Drosophila melanogaster: one gene and its partner. The protein of the gene in region 1 interacts with the protein of each later gene in a pairwise test. Each region holds a gene or a part of one and is shown on either strand. Other genes may lie near its edges. The genes, in order: HipHop and cav.

Region 1 (3,789 bases):
CAAATAAATAGAAGACCCAGAGAGGCGGCTTTTGAACTTCGAACTCTGGGGAAACGACTTCATCATTACTGGCATTTGTTGGACAAGCCTTTGTTGTTTTTCGCATTTTAATAATTAATGGAATTAATGGAAAGTACAGGCTCATAGCAATCGTTACTGAAATTGTCTTGTTTTTTGTTTATTTCATTTCGTACAATGCTTCTCCCTTCTCTTTTTGTCTTTTTTGCCTTTCTTGTTTTCTTATTTTCCTGCCGGCACACACACGCACACACATGCAGTTGCGCTCTCTCGCGCTCGCACACCAACACACTCACCGTTTGGGAGTTTTTGTAGTCAATCAACTGATTGGAAGCCGCATCGCGTCCAGCCATTTTGCTTAAAATTTAGGATATTTGCTCAACGGGATAACCAGAATTTAGAAACACTCGAACTGGAAAGTTGTTGATTTCTAGCCGCCTTCGGTTTTTTGCTGTGACTGCGTCGAGAATTCTGTCAACTAAAGCAACTGCAGCGCAGTTCCATTTGTTTTTATAGCCCAGCACCACGTACTTGTTGTTGCTCAGGGTTGTCGAGTGGGCCGAAGATATCGATATTTCGATTATAGTTGGAAATATATCGCTTAAATATTACATAATATCCATTATTATTCATATTTGTATTTAAATAGTATGAAATTCATTTTCAAAGTTTTTTTTTTGCACTGTCCATTTAAAAACGTGTCCCAACACCATTAAGATTTATTATTGATAATTTATAGTACCTTCGCTCCATTTGCTGCCCAGAAAGGTGAATAAATTTAAACTGTTTGTTAAGTTATTTATTTTTTTAATTTCATGAAAATGTCGGCATCATTAAGTTATAAACTAAGTCGGCTATCTATTGGTGCTCCTGCCAAATAAATATCTATGGCCTCTTTTTTTCTTAAGTTGTGAACCTCTTCCAGTGGTGCCTTTAAAATAAATGTACTTCATTCATATAATATATGTAAATATCATTAAACATGTTAAAATTATAAACTTCAAGGAAATCTCCAAATGGCGGCTATCTTTCTGTGGCTCCTGCCAAGCTAACATCTCTGTCTTTCTTTATTTTAGCGTACAAAAATATCTAATTAAATGAAACTTAGAAACTAGCATCAACTAGCATATGTATCTTGTTCTCTAGTCACAACTTAAAAAAATCACCTAACCACCTGTGGTTCCCATCAAGTAAATATCCATGGACTGCTTGTCCAGGACGGTCGGGCGCCTCTTTGGAATCGGCTGAATGTGCGGCAGTCGCGTGCCATTCACGGCGTTCAAACTGAGATTCGAGTTGGGGTCGTAGTCGTCGCAATCCGGAGTAGTCTGGGCCAAGCTCAGCCTCTGCGATGGTTTCACCATTAGGTTTGCCCTCGCAAGCTGGCGTTTTTGGATCGCTGCAGCGCTGGTAGTGGGCACATTGTCTGAATCTTGACTTAAGCTTCTGTGGGAGCACAGCTCTTCATCGGGAGTCACAATGCCCCCCTCACTGTATGAGGCACCGAATTCGGAACTTTGGCCAGAGACATGCAAAGAGGGCGCACTTTGGTGCGACGATGACTGACTGCCGCTGACGTCCGTAATGCTCGCGGCAGTCTCCCTGGCCATCTTGTGCCGTTTGGCATTGTCGTTCTTCTTCCGGTAGAGTCGCACCAGGTCCGTGTAGCACTTGCAGCAGATGAGGTTGCCCGCCCGAATTTCGCTGTTCAGCAAACAGGCGAAGCGCACCAAATATTTGTTGTTCAGTTGGCGATACGGCTTCCGCAGCGTGTGGTTGCCGACTGCGCAGAATCTCCGCTCAACGCGCGAGCCCTCGTCAATGGAGGCCATCTGGAATAGATCATGCACCTAGTTCTCCACAACTCGGGCTTACAAAACAATGCTTACACTGGCATTTTAACTTCCAAACGCAACAAAACGAAACATGAAGCCAATTGTCCCGCCACTTTGGAAACATATAGTGTGACCACATATGGATTGCTGAAATATACCAAAATTAGGCGTAAAATAAAATGCATTTAACTAATAAACAAATTCAATTTTTTTAAATGTTATAAAATCTAAAAACATACTGACATGGTCACAGTTTCTCACAATTTAAATGTGGCTTATTGTAATGCCAGTTAAGTAATTAATATGAAGAAACTATTCGTTTAAAATTGACAATAATCTAATTATTGGCGTGTTCGATGTTCATGAAATACTTATGTTATATCAGTTAGTTTGAAAATTGACTGTATTTCTTCTGTTGGTTGTATCAATTAAAATGAGTTTAAAAACACATTTTTTAAAACCCTAAAACCACATTCAAATCAAACTGTAATTATACCAACTAATACTGAAAATACCGAAAACTGCAAAATCAGCTGCTCGCCGAACAGCACTCAGCGTGCTGTTGGACGCGAAATGTTAGCCCATTAAACCCAGGTTATTTTTTGTCATTCATTGTTCATACGTTCGTCTCGTCTGATTTTCTTTTTATAAAAACACAATTAAAATTTCAAACGAATACACATAATTTTTATAAATATAATGTAGTGCAACACGTATATGTATAATATAGCTTAATACCAAGTGCAATCCCTCGAAAGATAACTTCAAATGGCAATCTAATTTACGTAAAGAGAAGAGACAAAAAAAGAAACGGCGCGTGTGAAATTTTTTCAAGCAAAGCAAAGGAGAGAAGTTGGAGCAACAAAAAAAAGAGGAGAGAAAAAATACAGCAACAACACACAAAGTAGGCCAACAACAACAGCAAGAAAAAAGCAAGCAAGCGGCAACAACCACAGCAACAACAATAACAACGTCGAGCGAAAGAAGCAAAAACCTTGTAATTGTGTCAATAAATGTTTTAAATAATATTTCCTTTGGGAAAGGCACCGTGTCTGTGTGCGCGCTTCGTGGTGTGAGTGTGCGAGACAAGTGAAATTTTCTTTGTTTCCCTGCGGGGGAGGAAAATACAAAAAAAAGAGTCAAGAAATAAAGTTGCCTTGAAACAACAAAAAACGCTGCCCCAAAAAAAGTGTATGCATGTGTGTGTGTCTGACTCGTTGTCTGCTGGTGTTGGTGAGTGTCTGGCCGTGTGTGAGTGTGTGTGGCAATGAACGTTGAGCAACAATAATTTTATTTATTTGGAATTTTGCTGCGCTGTTTGCTTGCTTTTATCTTTATAAATATACGCACAACTACAGCGCGATAAATGAATTATGAAAATAAAAGTCCCAAGTGCTCTTTTAGCAATGAAAATGTTTAGCCAAAAAACGAAAAGCAACAAAAACAGCGGCTTTAAGGCTGCTGGACAGGTTTCCCACGGCTAAAAAAAATGTAAAATACGAAAAGGAGCAACACGACGGCGACGTAGAAGAAGAAGCAGCAGCAATGCGTGAAACGCGAAAGCAAAGTGAAATTCAAGACAACAACAACAACAAACACGAAAGCATAGCGGCTAACAGAAACCGTTATTCAACAATTTCTTGAATAAAACAACAACGACAACAACAACAACATCGTAAAGCATACAAGTGAAAGAAGGCACAAAATACTGGTTTACACAAAATAAAAAAAGATAAAGCAGAAGAAAGAAAGCAAAGAGAGAAAAAGTTGCTGCACGAGAAATTTCGTTCGTGTATGGTCTCCCCATTTCTATCTCTGCATATATGAGAGTGTGTGGTGTGTGTGTGCATTAGTGAAGTAAAGTGAAAAGCAATGCTGCAAGGAATTACAACAACCACAGCCAGTTTACAATAAATATATAACAGTAAACGGTACT
Region 2 (4,534 bases), on another chromosome or scaffold:
GTTCGGTTCGTTGTAGATGTTCATGAACTCCTTTTGCAGCGGATTGCCCATGAGGCCGAGTATGACGAGGTGGAACAGCTTGCCGATCTCGTAAGGCAGTACGCGCAGAAAGTTGTTGTTCAGCAACAGCTCCCTAAAAGGAGGCAAGACAATGGAGTGGCTTAGTGAAAAGCATGGATCAGTGATCAATAGGGTCTGCGCCCAGACAGCGATTTCACAATAGATCAACTGCTAAGGGTGCAATAGAGTATGAGACATAATAATAGGACTAAAATACGATTTAACAACGTAAATCATGTCCTATGCCAACCCACAAACTCACCGCAACTGGATGAGCTCGCCGAGCTCTGCGGGAAGACTTCTTAGCTTATTGCTGGACAGGTCCAAAGTTCGGAGGCTGGTCAGCATGCCAACGTCTGCGGGCAATCGCAGCAGCTGGTTGTCGTTCAGGTAGAGGGCGGTTAGATGCTCAAATTCCCACAGCGACGGGCTGATATTGCGGACGCAGCCTGTAAACAGATGTATGGTAGAATTAATATGATATTTTTCGGGATTAAGTGTGTGATACCCACCAGTAATCTCTAGGCCACTCCAGTTCGTCTTCTTGCCCGCAGCTATGTCCTCCTGCGACAGAAAGATCTGCTGCCGCCGATTGGCGCTGTCGTATTTGTCTTTGTTACGAGACATTTTATAATGATTGCCTGTTCGGTATATATAGAAGAGAGTTATATTAATATATGTATAAGGTAAGAGATAACAAGTTAAAATCTGGAATTGTTTCAAGGAAGTTAGGGCTCATGTTAGGAGACAAAACCTCGCTTAGCAACAAAAATGAATGCTTTGAGTTTTAGCTTAAATGTATCTAGGAGTATTGGAATCAAATCATAACCTTTCATAATAACCGCCTGATGATAAGCGTCTCTGCAAAATATTAATAAAGTGGTTTCCATTATTATTTTGTATTAGTAAACAAAGGTGGGTCTGAGGTCCGGGTTTGGTTTACATATACAGCTAAGGTAAAACTAATAGCAGTTCTTAAACATTATTAATTAAAATTTAAGTACAAGGTAAAAGGTCGATATGGAAAATACCGCCAAACTCAATAGTTGGAGGATTTTAGGAAAAATCTTTATATTTTATTAATAAATAGCATTGGATATGTATTTTGGAACGTTGTCTATGCACCTTTTTTTAAAGATACACATATTAGGCTTTAAAGAACTGCTATTGGCTTTCGCACAGCTGCGGATGGTAAATTGTAAATCATAAATAAATGCAAACGAAAATGATTTTGGTAAGCGCGCGCAAAGTGCAAGCACCAACACACACGCACACACACGGACGCGTAGCACACACAGAAACACTATACAGTTAGAAAGAAGAATGGCGTGGGCGGGCAAAACAAGAAGAAGAAGGAAAGCCGTATGTCGCATATTGAAAATCGTGGGTATCAGGAACCTGTGTAGGATTACCTGGCTCAGTTCACTATTCCTAGGAAGTCACCTCAATCGGAAATTCTGGCTCAAATTTACTCGCCGTCTCTCCTCGTTTCGCGCGCTCTTTTCGCTCTCCGCCTGCACTTACTCGAGGATTTTGAAAGAAAAAGGAAGCCGCAGCTGGGGATTCAGCAATATTCGATATTCACTGTGAAATTTAACCGACTTCTACCGTTTTTGGTGCCTTTATTTGGGTCCTATATTTGTTATTTTATTATTTTGCTGCTTTTCGTTCGTGTTTGTCGGAACAGAAGCGACGATTCTGCTAATCAACCTATTCGTTTTGGATCGCTCTTTCTTCTGCTGGGCCTCTGCTTTTCATTTATTTATCACGCGACTCGCTTTCATCGTCGGTTCTTGTTTTTGTATACATGGTGAGCAGTCGGAGTTGCCACTCGGTTTTATCAGCGGACGGTATCACGGCAAGATTTGTCCAAAATGCGTGCTTATTCGTCCAACTGAAGTCCGGCCTAGTGTTCTGATAAAGTGTGAGACAACGTTTGTTTGTAAAAAGAACTACTCAAATGGGATTTCAGTCAAAACAAAACAAGAGCACATCACACACAAGACGCACACATACACACAAGACGCACACGCACACAGATGGTCAAAGAGGTGCAGGGCTGAAAATAAAAACACGTAGATATTTCGTACTGTTTGCTTTACTAGCCACTTTTTTCGGTCAATGCTTTTTGCTGAGGACTCGGCTTTCGACGCGATATATTTTATGTAGTTTAGATCTCTGGATGGACGATTTATTTGTGAATTTATGCTGCTGCTACTATGTGTAAACTTTCGTTCTTCGCTTTCCTTCGTTTTCCATTTCTCTTTTGTGCGCTGGTTTGGCGTACGCGGAAATGCCCACTTGCTGTTAATCGGCTATCGGAAAGAATTTGCAAGCAGGGGCTCCAACTAGCGTATTGAGAAAGTAGCTATATTTTGTATGACAGTTAAGACCCCTGTTTTTTGAATTGATATTTTTTATAGGATTGAAATCAGGAGCTTTGAATTATTAATTTGTAAAATAAAATGAGTTTATTTTGACAGCAAACGAAAATACTTAGCTAGAATCGAGCTAAACCATTAAAATCTGTAAATACTGACTAATCGATAACCTTACAGAGTTTCGATAGATCCATTAGCCGCGAATGCCCTTAAAAAGTTGTAATTTATTTAATTTAATGTTGCGTGTTTTTAAAAAAAGGTTAATATGTCGGGGACGCAAATGTCTGCCTTCCTGAGAAAGTATCTAGCCGACGAGGACAAAAAAATTCGTGCGCAATTCAAAGAAAGCGATCCTAACAACAAATTGATTCTATGGATGCACGAAAAAACGGTAAGACGCATTTCATTTTGTAAATTGAAATTGTATATTGTATAGTATCCTGTATTTGAAGAGAATAACCGAGGAGGACTTGGCACGCCCATACACCGAGGACGAGGTAAAGGAGCTTTGTCTACGCACCAAAGTGAAGGTTGATATGACCGCTTGGAATTGTCTGTGGGAAGCCAAAAAGAGGTTTGAAGCAAAAGGACGTTTTGTGAACAAGTCTGAGAGATTCATCAACCGAATGTATATGAAAGCGGTGCGCAGAAAGATGGTCCAACCGTATCCGGAGGAGTTTGTGGCCCAGCGAAGAGAAATAGTTGCAGCCGAGACTAAGAAGCAGAACATCAGCCGATTGGATAGATGGCAAAAGAAAAAGAGTCAAAACCTATCAGCACCAGAATCCTCTCCAGACGCTCATGCATCTTCTAATGACGCGGTGCAGAGCCACGAGGACCAAGCAAACACAAATCTTAGTTCACTGTCTCAAATGAACTTTCAAGTGGAAGCGATGGCTCCGCCAGGCGTGTCGTCATCTGATCTTAGCGGCATCGGAGACGATGAGGACGAACAGCAGCAGTCAGGATTTCAGGATGAGAACATCAACCGTCCAGAGACAGAGATTAATGAGAATTCGGTGAGATGTGATCCAATTAATTTAGGAAGGATGCGGACTGGATGTATAAATTCGCAAGCAAATAACAGTTTCCGGAATACGGAGTCTGATCCGGACTACTATATGTTTGGCACCCAATTGAGCACATTAGTACGACCCACGTCGACTCAAGAGCCTGACGATCAGGTAAACTGTCCAGAGACAGAGATGAATGAGAGCTGGGTAAGGTGTGATCAAATTAATTCGGAAAGCTTGTCGATTGGACCGTCAATTGATTCGGAAGGAACTATCACTTTTCAAAATACAGAATCTGAGCCGATCGACGTCACCTCAATAGCCTGATGTCCATATATTAAACTATATAAAGTTCTTCATTTATTGGTGTTAATTAATTAAAAACATGTAATCCCTAAAAATGTTATAAAATGTATAATAAAAATCTTAATTAAAATACGATGGTCGATTAAGCTATGTACACTAATCTAGGATGATCCGCAACCGGAGCTGTACAAGAAGGGTAAACATTTAAAATGCTCGCTTTTACATAATTACGCTATGTACAATTTATATATTGCTAAACCATGGTCCCATGGGGCGCGGCAGGGGGCGGTGGGTGCTACGGGAAGTGGTCAAACAAGAACTGTTCCATGAACAGCGACTCCGAATGCTAGTTGGACGAATTGTCGCCAGGCTCACTGACCGCAATTGTCATCTTCACTTCATCGCCACTGTCTAGTTCTGGATCCTCGTCATCCTCCTCATCCTCGCAATCATCCATATCGTCCTCGTCGAGCTCCTCGTCTTCGTCGTCCTCTTCGGTCAATTCATCATCCTCCTCGTCGTCCTCATCATCGCCGAAACTATCACCCCCGCCGCTGGCCTCCACAGTCGGCAGCTGAACGATCGTGGCCCCGCCCGGCGTCACAGTTGAGCCTGCAACCGTGGCCGCCACACTGGAGGCTCCACTGCCCGCCGCCGCTGAACCGCCGCCCGGAATCTCAATCGTCACAATGCCGTTCACCGTGCTAATGCTTTTCGGTGCATTGCCACCCTTGGTCTCCTGCTTGATGCTCAGCTCAATTAGCTCCACGCCAG

Evidence for each region.
Region 2: the proteins of HipHop (region 1) and cav interact in binary tests that used the Drosophila melanogaster proteins (3 or more experiments, as listed by UniProt).

The regions. Positions count from the first base shown.
Region 1 is NT_037436.4:18,819,368-18,823,156, reverse strand, and holds HipHop (HP1-HOAP-interacting protein), read right to left. Parts: upstream 1,987-3,789; 5' UTR 1,851-1,986; coding exon 1,185-1,850; 3' UTR 804-1,184; downstream 1-803. Other genes in the region: Cat (catalase), read right to left, coding at 315-371. UniProt on the Drosophila melanogaster protein: Part of the HipHop-HOAP complex that recruits the MTV complex to form the terminin telomere-capping complex, which binds to chromosome ends in a sequence-independent manner and prevents telomere fusion.
Region 2 is NT_033777.3:24,219,643-24,224,176, forward strand, and holds cav (caravaggio), read left to right. Parts: upstream 1-1,888; 5' UTR 1,889-2,099; coding exon of another isoform or gene 2,100-2,111; 5' UTR 2,112-2,265; coding exon 2,266-2,283; exon of another isoform or gene 2,284-2,323; intron 2,324-2,599; exon of another isoform or gene 2,600-2,700; coding exon 2,701-2,832; intron 2,833-2,893; coding exon 2,894-3,781; 3' UTR 3,782-3,886; downstream 3,887-4,534. Other genes in the region: twin, read right to left, coding at 1-133, 323-509, 573-701, 890-921, 1,186-1,205; Spps (Sp1-like factor for pairing sensitive-silencing), read right to left, coding at 4,107-4,534. UniProt on the Drosophila melanogaster protein: Part of the HipHop-HOAP complex that recruits the MTV complex to form the terminin telomere-capping complex, which binds to chromosome ends in a sequence-independent manner and prevents telomere fusion.